Linked DNA regions of Arabidopsis thaliana. The main gene of each other region encodes a partner of the protein of the gene in region 2 in a complex. Each region holds a gene or a part of one and is shown on either strand. Other genes may lie near its edges. A codon is read from its position in the direction of its gene.

The links. Proteins that work in one complex are often made in the same cells at the same time.
Region 1: the proteins of AT4G00420 (region 2) and DRB4 are in contact, whole or in part, in a crystal structure (PDB 8IGD), measured with the Arabidopsis thaliana proteins. Residues at the interface, in NP_001118902.1 of Arabidopsis thaliana: Met102, Glu104, Arg107, Ile108, Thr109, Val110, Leu111, Glu112, Cys113, Phe114, Gly115, Asn116, Glu130, Ala131, Trp134, Tyr135, Asn138, Val139, Gly140; in NP_191839.2 of Arabidopsis thaliana: His314 (codon at 3,283), Leu315 (codon at 3,286), Ser316 (codon at 3,289), Ile317 (codon at 3,292), Pro318 (codon at 3,295), Thr319 (codon at 3,298), Gly320 (codon at 3,301), Gln321 (codon at 3,304), His322 (codon at 3,307), Val323 (codon at 3,310), Val324 (codon at 3,313), Cys325 (codon at 3,316), Arg326 (codon at 3,319), Pro327 (codon at 3,322), Asn329 (codon at 3,328), Phe342 (codon at 3,367), Arg343 (codon at 3,370), Asp344 (codon at 3,373), Phe347 (codon at 3,382), Ile348 (codon at 3,385), Ala349 (codon at 3,388).

Annotation. Positions count from the first base shown.
Region 1 is NC_003074.8:23,225,026-23,229,159, reverse strand, and holds DRB4 (double-stranded-RNA-binding protein 4), read left to right. Parts: upstream 1-1,647; 5' UTR 1,648-1,713; intron 1,714-1,985; 5' UTR 1,986-1,996; coding exon 1,997-2,227; intron 2,228-2,316; coding exon 2,317-2,698; intron 2,699-2,956; coding exon 2,957-3,411; 3' UTR 3,412-3,634; downstream 3,635-4,134. Other genes in the region: AT3G62810 (complex 1 family protein / LVR family protein), read right to left, coding at 980-1,059, 1,157-1,397. UniProt on the Arabidopsis thaliana protein: Double-stranded RNA-binding protein involved in RNA-mediated post-transcriptional gene silencing (PTGS). Functions in the trans-acting small interfering RNAs (ta-siRNAs) biogenesis by binding and assisting DICER-LIKE 4 (DCL4). Required for DCL4 activity.
Region 2 is NC_003075.7:180,741-186,472, forward strand, and holds AT4G00420 (Double-stranded RNA-binding domain (DsRBD)-containing protein), read right to left. Parts: upstream 3,730-5,732; 5' UTR 3,510-3,729; exon of another isoform or gene 3,242-3,509; intron 2,640-3,241; 5' UTR 2,560-2,639; intron 1,956-2,559; 5' UTR 1,890-1,955; coding exon 1,836-1,889; intron 1,681-1,835; coding exon 1,503-1,680; intron 1,213-1,502; coding exon 1,101-1,212; intron 1,007-1,100; coding exon 778-1,006; 3' UTR 534-777; downstream 1-533. Other genes in the region: PIP1;4 (plasma membrane intrinsic protein 1;4), read right to left, coding at 5,403-5,498, 5,593-5,732.

The sequences.
Region 1 (4,134 bases), on a different chromosome or scaffold from region 2:
CATATCTCTTTTCGAATCCATTTTTTTAGTTACCTTTTTCTTTATTCACGACATGGCTACTTTCTTTAGGACGTGCGTGAGTTCTTATATACAACATAATCACGTAATGCGTGAGCATTTATGAATACAGCTAAAGAATTGAATCAAACTCACATGAATTGAGAGAACAAAGTATATGTGGTTATGACGATTCACATGATTCCTATGAAACAATGCTCTTCAACACAAGAATCTAAGGATTGCACACCAGCGAGAAGATGACTGAGACACTAATAAGAGAAAGCTAGAACTCTGAACTTAAAATCATGAATGGAGATGATAAAAAAGGACTTCTGAGCAAATGCTGTGGACACTCATGAATGGGGGTAAATCTTGACAGATTGTGTAGTGGTTTTCATTGGAAAATGAACCATACTTCTCGGACCCCGTATCAACAATATAGGTTCTATTTTATTGGTTTGAAAAACTAGAGTGACCATCACGGCTTCAATCTTCTCGCGTCAACTCTATTTCAAACTTCCCATCAGACTCTGTGAAACAATCGGGGACAAGGAAATCTAGATAGATGACGAAACCTAAGCTTATGTAGGAAATAATTATATTTCAATCTAACAATAAAAGTGACATGGATTTGAAAATGATACAAAAGATGGGTCTCTACGACAAGACAAGGCTTCTAAGATTTGAGAATGACACAAAAGATGGGTCTCTACGACAAGACAATGCTTCTAAGAAAAGTAGAAAAGTGAGGTCTACAGTCTAACATACAACATAATCAATATTAGCCATGGATGTAAGTGAATTCTGTAATTCTTGTTTTGAAATGGACGAATCTCATCCAAAAATGTATGTAAAGAGCTTCTTATTGATTCAACTTGGCCGTGAAAAGAGAAAACAAACAGAGAAGCATAAAAAGGATCCACCTTTCCCGATCAAACAAAACGAGTAAGGGAGAAGTAATCCAATTTCAGACTTACACTCATACAGATTTTTTCCGAAGCATCTCCTCTGATGGAAGCTCCAAAGTAGCTCCCGCGTGTTCCTGACTTGCTTTCATCTCTACGACACAGAAAAATCAAATTTCCAAAGATATGAGCTTTCACTCACGCATTTCAACAAACAGATGGTGCGCAAGATAAAAAGAGTCAGAACGAACCATATCCGCCGCGTTCGTTGAGTTTAGCCTGGACGATCATGGTGGAAATGAACTGCGTCGCTTCACGCGCCTCTTCTAGAAGGCGAGTGATGTCGGAGTTAGAAGCCACGAGGCGATTCTCTTCGAATTTCTTACGGATCTCGGACGCCGAAGCTTTTAGCATCTCGGTATCTCCGGCGAATGATTTCTTTGTTGCCCTGAGCAGTGCTCTGTACGCGATCAACGCTTCTCCGGTCACCATTTCTGCTCTTTCCCCTTTCAACCTCCGCCGTCGTCTCCCTCCCAAAATTGGATTTAGAAATTTGGTCGCCGACAACCTTCTGATCAACTTCGAGTTTCATTGGGCCTTTACAACTTTCATGAATAAGCCCAATTTTGGCCCATTAATGGATTATTTCGGATCATACCCGTTCAAGCTGGGTTAACCCGAATCTTTCGTATCCTTGAGACAATTTACATGTGTATACTTATTATGGTTTCTCGATGAGTTTCAATCAGCGAATGCTTTGTCTGATTGTTCACTTCCTCCCTCGAAGTGTCTTCACCATTTCAAAGAGGTACGATTTTGTGTTTATAATCGTAGATTCCTTTCGCTGTTTTGATGTTATCGATCTGTACGAAACCCTAGATCATTGAGTCTGACCAATTCTGAAATTCGTCTCTTCGTTTGCCATTTATGTTTGAGAAATTCTGATACATGTTGTCATGTTGATCTCTTTATGTTTGGTTGACCAATTCTGAAATCTGAAATTCGTCTCTTCGTTTGCCATTTATGTTTGAGAAATTCTGATACACGTTGATCTCTTTATGTTTGGTTAATTCCTGCCAGTTTAGATAGAGATGGATCATGTATACAAAGGTCAACTGCAAGCGTATGCCCTGCAACATAATCTGGAGCTACCAGTGTATGCGAATGAGAGAGAAGGGCCTCCTCATGCTCCTAGATTTAGATGTAATGTTACATTCTGTGGACAGACTTTCCAGAGCTCTGAATTCTTTCCGACACTAAAATCGGCTGAACATGCCGCTGCAAAAATTGCAGTTGCTTCTTTGACGCCACAAAGTCCAGAGGCTAGTTCCTCACACTCTTTTTGGACTACAAGTTATGTGCTTTTTCAACATTTGTTTAAATTTTGATTTTCAAATTTTTGTTGTTTCAGGGAATTGATGTTGCCTACAAGAACCTGTTACAAGAAATTGCACAGAAAGAGAGTTCTCTGTTACCATTTTATGCAACTGCTACATCTGGTCCATCGCATGCGCCTACTTTTACTTCAACTGTTGAGTTTGCTGGTAAAGTTTTCAGTGGAGAAGAGGCGAAAACCAAAAAGTTGGCTGAAATGAGCGCTGCTAAAGTTGCATTCATGAGTATCAAAAATGGGAACTCGAACCAGACCGGATCGCCTACTTTGCCTAGTGAGAGACAAGAAGATGTAAATTCAAATGTGAAGAGCAGTCCACAAGAGATCCATTCTCAACCTTCTTCCAAGGTGGTGATGACCCCTGATACCCCATCAAAGGGGATTAAAGTGAATGAAGATGGTTAGTTTTCTTTGAATACTACACTACATGAATAATCCGTTGGTTTGTTTGTTAAAGGAAAAACTCTCTTTCTTTGTTATAACTTGTGGTCCAATCAGAGGGACGTATTTTCCTGAGATAGGTAGGAAACAGCTATGAAATAAGAAAGCCAACCTTACTTTAACTGCATGAAATGGATTCCAATTTCAGTTTAATGCTAAATGGTCAAGATGGTTAATTCATTCAAAACTCATGCTCTACAGTCTTGATTCTGTGCAGAATTTCCAGATCTTCATGATGCACCAGCCAGTAATGCTAAGGAGATTAACGTTGCTTTGAATGAGCCTGAGAATCCTACAAACGATGGTACTCTTAGTGCACTAACTACTGATGGTATGAAGATGAACATTGCTTCTTCTTCTTTGCCTATACCTCACAATCCTACAAACGTTATTACTCTTAATGCACCAGCTGCCAATGGTATCAAGAGGAACATTGCTGCTTGTTCTTCGTGGATGCCTCAGAATCCCACAAACGATGGTAGTGAAACATCATCATGTGTAGTAGATGAGAGTGAGAAAAAGAAGCTCATAATGGGAACTGGCCACCTGAGTATACCAACTGGCCAACATGTAGTTTGTCGCCCATGGAACCCCGAGATAACTCTTCCTCAAGACGCGGAGATGCTCTTTAGAGATGATAAATTTATAGCCTATCGTCTTGTGAAGCCATAACGACATCATCATCTTTGATGCATAATAAGTGTAGAGATAGAATGTTAAGGTAAGCTATATCTCATCTGTTTGTAGAAATAGAATGCTTCTCGTCTCTGGTTTTCTTAAGCAATATGCTATGTAGTATGTATACTGTGTAATGACTAATTTTTGTTTTAAAGCATTGTGTTTATTAGAAACAAGGCGAGATTAAATGTTAATAGATTATGGAAAAGCTTAACAGAATAAATATTAAATAGTAAGATGTAGACATAAGCAAAACCAGCTAGATAAGTAACCGCTTCAAGTAGAATATTTGTAACGATAACCGAATATAATTAGAGACACTAGAGTAGAGGTAAGCAAAATATTTGGGAACAGCAATTCCATCACGATATTAGATATTCGAGACCGGTGCGGAGATGTGCTGATGATTTTCGGAAGACATTCAGGTTGTACATAGCTAAGTCCATATTGGTACCCACAAGTGCTGATTTTCCGAACAGATCCTGGTTGTGAACGAAGCAGGGTGTGCCAGCAGTGCCAAGGCACAGAGTCCTTATTTTCTCTCTTAAATTTTAGGGTCCTAATTTATAGGAATTTTTATTTTTCTAGATAAAATTACAATGGTTGAATAGAACTACAAGTGTATTACGTTTACAAGAGACAGTAAACACTGCCACGTAAACTAAAATTTTTTGGATTTAAAGGTTTAAAGGGGATATTTTTTTTTTTAGCACAGAA
Region 2 (5,732 bases):
CACACAACATTCTTTATGTGACCAACAAGATCATCTTTTCCTTAAAAATGTGCTCTCCAAGCTAGCCTTTAAGATTCTATTTTACAGTTTCTTGTCTTAAGGCAACTAAAATTCTGCCTGTGAGACAATCTCTAAGAGATCTATAATCTACATAACCTTAATCTTGTTATTTGCACCGGAATCTCAGACTTAAAGTTTCTCAGAAGAAATAAGATGATGATGTTTATCGCCCTTGCTAGAATCACCGGAGTAACCAAAGCACCACATAGCATATGAAAAATTCCCAACTGTTTAGCTATGTGGTAAGATGAAAATTTTCGATGTGGTATAAAGGCAGCTTAGGTTAAGACAGCTTCGAGGCACTAGTAGTAGATTTTTATGTGTTATAAAGGCAGACTCATTACAAATTTTGTTTACTCAGAATAGATATCAAACTTATGAAACCTATCAAAATGCTAATTTTCATTGAAGATGGCATGAGCCAAACGAAGGTTGGCAATAGCTAAGGTCAAACCAACAAAAGTTTGCGACTTGCGTATATAGTTATATCAAAGGAAAGTTGACGCGAGATATAGTCAAAGTATCAAAATAGACATTTGCATAGATAGACAAAAAATAACGCAGGTTAAAGGTACACATGAAAATAGTCTCATAAAAGATGAGTATTTTGTGACCTTTTGAGCATCCTAGGTAGAGCTTATATCAAAAGCTAATCCTTAAGGCCGATAAACATAAACAAAAGTAATCACCTTAACAGATTCTAACTGGCAAAGATCATTACACGGGTTCACCTGTTACCATCATCTTCGATATCGGTTTACTCCGTCCTTTACGACCAGAAGCTTTCTCTGTTTGAAGGGTATAACCCACATTCTTAAGATACCAAAGTGCTGCTTCTGCTGCCTGCTCAGCTGCGATTTTCTTCTTGTACTGTGGATTCCCAAAACACTCCAAAACCGTTATCCGAGAATCCTCCTTCATTTCAACCGTAACTTTGCCTGTAAATCTGAACAAAACAAAAGAAAAACATGAATGATGCTGACACTAAAGATTTCTAACCTTTAAAATGTGAAAAGAGTGCAGAAATTATGTGCTCTTACATTTTCATATGGCAAGGACCCTCGGCGATATACTCATACAGTGGTGCTTTCCAATGCCTCACACTACATAAATTATACAACTGTGATTTGGCTGAAGATCTCTGAGTTTCTTCTAAACAACATGCATGTGAACAACAGAACAAAATGTCAAATTGTCGATAAATGAAAACTAACCCCAAAAAAATGAGACATAATTGACAAGTTTTAAGCTTTTGATTTTTAAGGAATCCAAAAGCTCTTCAAGAAAGCAAACACAGGTACACAATACTAACATTCTTATTCCATAACCATAGCTTTCATCTTTAAAACCCTTATAACCAATAACATTAACAAAACCTTAGCTAAATACAACTGATAACACCAAAATTAAGTAAACAGTGTGGGGAGAAAAAGAGTAAGTACCTTCAGTAGTGGGCTCAGTTGTGTGAGGCCTCAAATCTGCTTCTGGTTCGGAAACAAGAGTGTTCTCAAGTGTAAAGTTTGGCTCCATCTGCGTGACATTGTCTTCTTCGACAGTATCGTTCAGCTTCCTTATCTTAAACTTACTTTCGCATCTCTGTAGCAACATCCTCTTTTGAGCCTGAATAGAGACAAAGAAAAAATAATAATAATAACTGATCCAATCCAACAAAAATTAACAAAAAGACATGACAAAATGATTATTTCTTCTCATTTAAGAAGATCTAAGCCCAAAAGGAAAGACTAATATTTCTATTTATATTCCGCATTTCTTACCACAGAGAAGGAAGATATGGGATTTGATGAAGACTCTGGAGGAGGAAGATCCATCGTTGATTTCAAGCAGAAAATTCTTTTTTTTCTTTATTGGATTAATTAGCTTCAGCTACCTTATTCCTTTATAATAAGAAACCAACACAAATCAGACAGACTTTAACTACAACAAAAAGTGTTTCAAAGACATTGCATATATATAGACTAGTTAATGATCACCTAGATCAAAATCCAGAAGCATAGTGCTATTATTAGTAAAAACGTTACCCATCAAAACCACATATGACCCATGACATAATCTATACATACAAAGAATTCAATAATAACAACAACTTTCAGGACCACGACGCATAATCACTCTTAATTCAATAATATTGTCTCAGTTGCCTGAACATTTGCTAAGAAACTTATAATTTGACAAAGCTAGGAGATTGTCGCAGAGACTTTTTCTGAAATCAAATTTGACCGAACTTTTAACACAAGAGATTTGTTCTGTTTTCTATAGAGCTAAAGAATCAGTATGAAGTTTACCAAGTAAAGCTTTAAACTTAACTAAATAATCTGCTTTCCCTTTGGTCAAAACTCATACTAGTTCCAGCTTAACCATCTTAAATAAACATGTTTAAGCAGGCTATATAAATGCACAGTTACAGAAAGAACAGTGGCTATTGCAATGAAGTAACCAAAAAGGAAAATAAAAAGGAGAGACAGTTATCTAGGAGCTCACAGTTATGGCAAGAAGCTGAGCTTTTGGATTCCTGCTACCAATCCGTTTTTTAAATGCCTTTCACAACATCTTTTGCTTGCCTGCAAAACAGCAACCGCTTTCAGACACCACATAGGATCGTCCAATTAGTATAAACACTGAAATATCCTTCTTCCAATCACAAAGCATAAATATTTCCCAGCTTCTACAATAAAGCCCTATGAAAGATGACTAACTTGAGCAAAACAGTAGGCCACAAGTATTCGAATTGGTCCTAGAAAACATGGAAATATCTAACTATGGTAAAGAAACGAAATTTGATTATCTTAACTATCTTAACTATCTTAACTATCATATATCTTTCCTCTCCTTATCTAAAACCCTTTGATTAGATTACAGAAACAACACTTCAGTTCCTAAACAACAATAGACAAATATCTTCTTTGCCTAAACAACAAGACAGACCCAAATATTTAGTAGTTAAACAGCATTTTGCTAACCACACAAGACAATTCAAATCACACACACAAGACATTTTGCTAATTCATCACACTCACTTATACTATGGAAAAGCAAAACCATAAGAACACACAATTCAAATCATTGTCTCATATGGCATCTTACAACACAAAATAAGAAACCATCAAATATTTATTAGTTAAACAGCAGATACTTTTGAGATCTACATAAAGCTATAACTTACCAAAATCAAGTGACGTTTAAACAACATATAAATCTTCATAAACTAAGCAAATCCTTAAGGAGGAGTTTACCAATAAAATCAAAGAGAGCTGAATAGAAGATTGACCCAGAAAGGAGAACGATCTAAGTAGAGGCTGGAGTTTTCGAGTTTTGATTTTCCTCTTCACACTTCCGAAATCTCAAATTGAGAACAAAAGCTTCAATTTTGAACTAAACCCAGAAATTCTATTTCAAGCGAGAATCGGAAATGGAAAGAGAGACATGAATACCTTTAGGAACTGAGCTAACGCCAATGGAGAAGAAGATCGAGTGATGATGAGATCGAAAAGAAGATTGAGAAGAAGAGAGTAACGAAAGAAGAAGAAGAAGCTCAAGAGATTGGTTGAATGTTTTGTTATTTCACTAAAAAAGAAAAAGTATTATGAACAGAGCAATATTGAAGGAAAAAATATTGAAGGAAAAAAAAAAATTTGTATTTATGTATTAATTACAAAATATTATTTGATGAGTTTACATATTAAATTATTACATAATTTCGACCATAATGTAAATATGTTTTAAAAATGTTATAAACTTTATAAATAAAAAATTAAAAAGGAATTATAATTAAAGAACTATCTTTTGAAATATTTTTTTGAAAGTAAAAATAATTATTAGCAATAAATCTACTTAACATTTTTAAAATATATATTTCCTCTTTTTATTCGGGTCAGGGTTTTATACAATTTGATTTAGAAATCGTCAATCGAATATTTCCCTATATTATGACAAAACCCAAAAACGAATTTAATTTATAAAAAATAATTACTATATCTAAATTTTTTATATATGGTATATTCTTTACAATTTTTGTAGATAAAAAATTAAATATGATGATTTAATGCTAATATAAAATGTTTGGGCTAATTTTCTAAAACCTCTCTACCTAATAAACATAAATACATAATTCTCATTTCACTTTTATTTGATTTTATGTACTTATATTATTTGAATTATTATAAATTATATATGGTTAATAAATTTCTTGTTTTTTCTGCATATATTATGATTCAAATTTTTTAAAACACATAATACTGAATCAAAGAAATATATGCACAATCTAAAATATAAACAAATAATAAATCATTTAAAGTTTTTTAACCGATAAAGAAAAATTTGGTTATTTATTGTCAATCGGGTTATAATAGAATGATGCAATAAAAAAAACAAAATTATTTGTAAAAAAAAACAAATAATATCGAAAACAAACAAAATAATAACGGAGAAAAAATATCAAAAACTAACCCATATTACAAACGGTACAGAATCTACTTATATATTTTTGCAACACTTTTATGAAATAAATCCTGGAGTTTGAACTTATTTACAACCCAATGCCATTGGCATTAAATGTTTTAACAAACTTATTATCAAATCTATAAATCGATTTTGTTACTAAAATTTAGGAAACTAAAATAAAAAAAAATCACAAAAATTATTTAAATCATCTATTGTTCAGTACACAACAAGACCTCAATCATATAATGTGTTAAGCAACTTTTCTGTGGCTCTAAGATCCGACCACTGGTGCTAAAACAAGAATCAGAAGCTACAGAAGAAACTTGCATAGCTAGAATATCTCTAGCTAGTACAAATAAAACCGGAAGCTTAAGACTACTGAGCTTCTAGTATGAAACACATCATATTCTGTTTCCAATGTATTGGCCCTTGTGTTTTCAACACTTTCTTGCAAGTACACAATAGTCAAGCTCTTCATTCACCATCTTGTCATAAACAGAGGCCAATCCTTCAACCCCCACATTCACGAAGTCATGATCATCTTCATAATCATGTCTCTCAAAACCAACCCGAGAACTTGATGTTGATACAGAATGAGGGTTGACTATGTTTATTTTATATTCGTCGAACAAACTATTCAAAACATCAATAACCGGAGCACTAATCACCTTAGACTTCAGAGACCCTTTGCCATAAAGCATCTGAGACGAGTATAGGAAGAAAAAAGAAACACATAGTTTTTACATAGACAAAAGCTGATTAGAAATCCCAAATACATATTCTTGAAAGGCTCATTACATTGCAAAACACAAGCTACATTAGATAGATAAGCAAAGAAACTACTAAAGAACAAATTCTGGACCGTGGAATCTTTCTGTGTGTCTCTAACTCTTGCTCTTGAAAGGAATCGCTCTGATGACAATCTGGTGATATAGTGCTGCTAGAGCTGCTCCAATGAATGGTCCAACCCAGAAAATCCACTGCAACAACCACCACAATTTTACAAATTCAAATATATTAGAAAACATCATAATACGTTTTGAGTTGTCCTTTTCATTAGAGTTGTTTACTCACATGGTCATCCCAAGAGTGGTCCTTGTTGTAGATAATTGCGGCTCCAAGACTTCTAGCTGGGTTGATTCCGGTCCCGGTGATCGGTATTGTTGCCAAGTGTACCAAGAACACTGCAAATCCGATTGGGAGCGGCGCCAAAA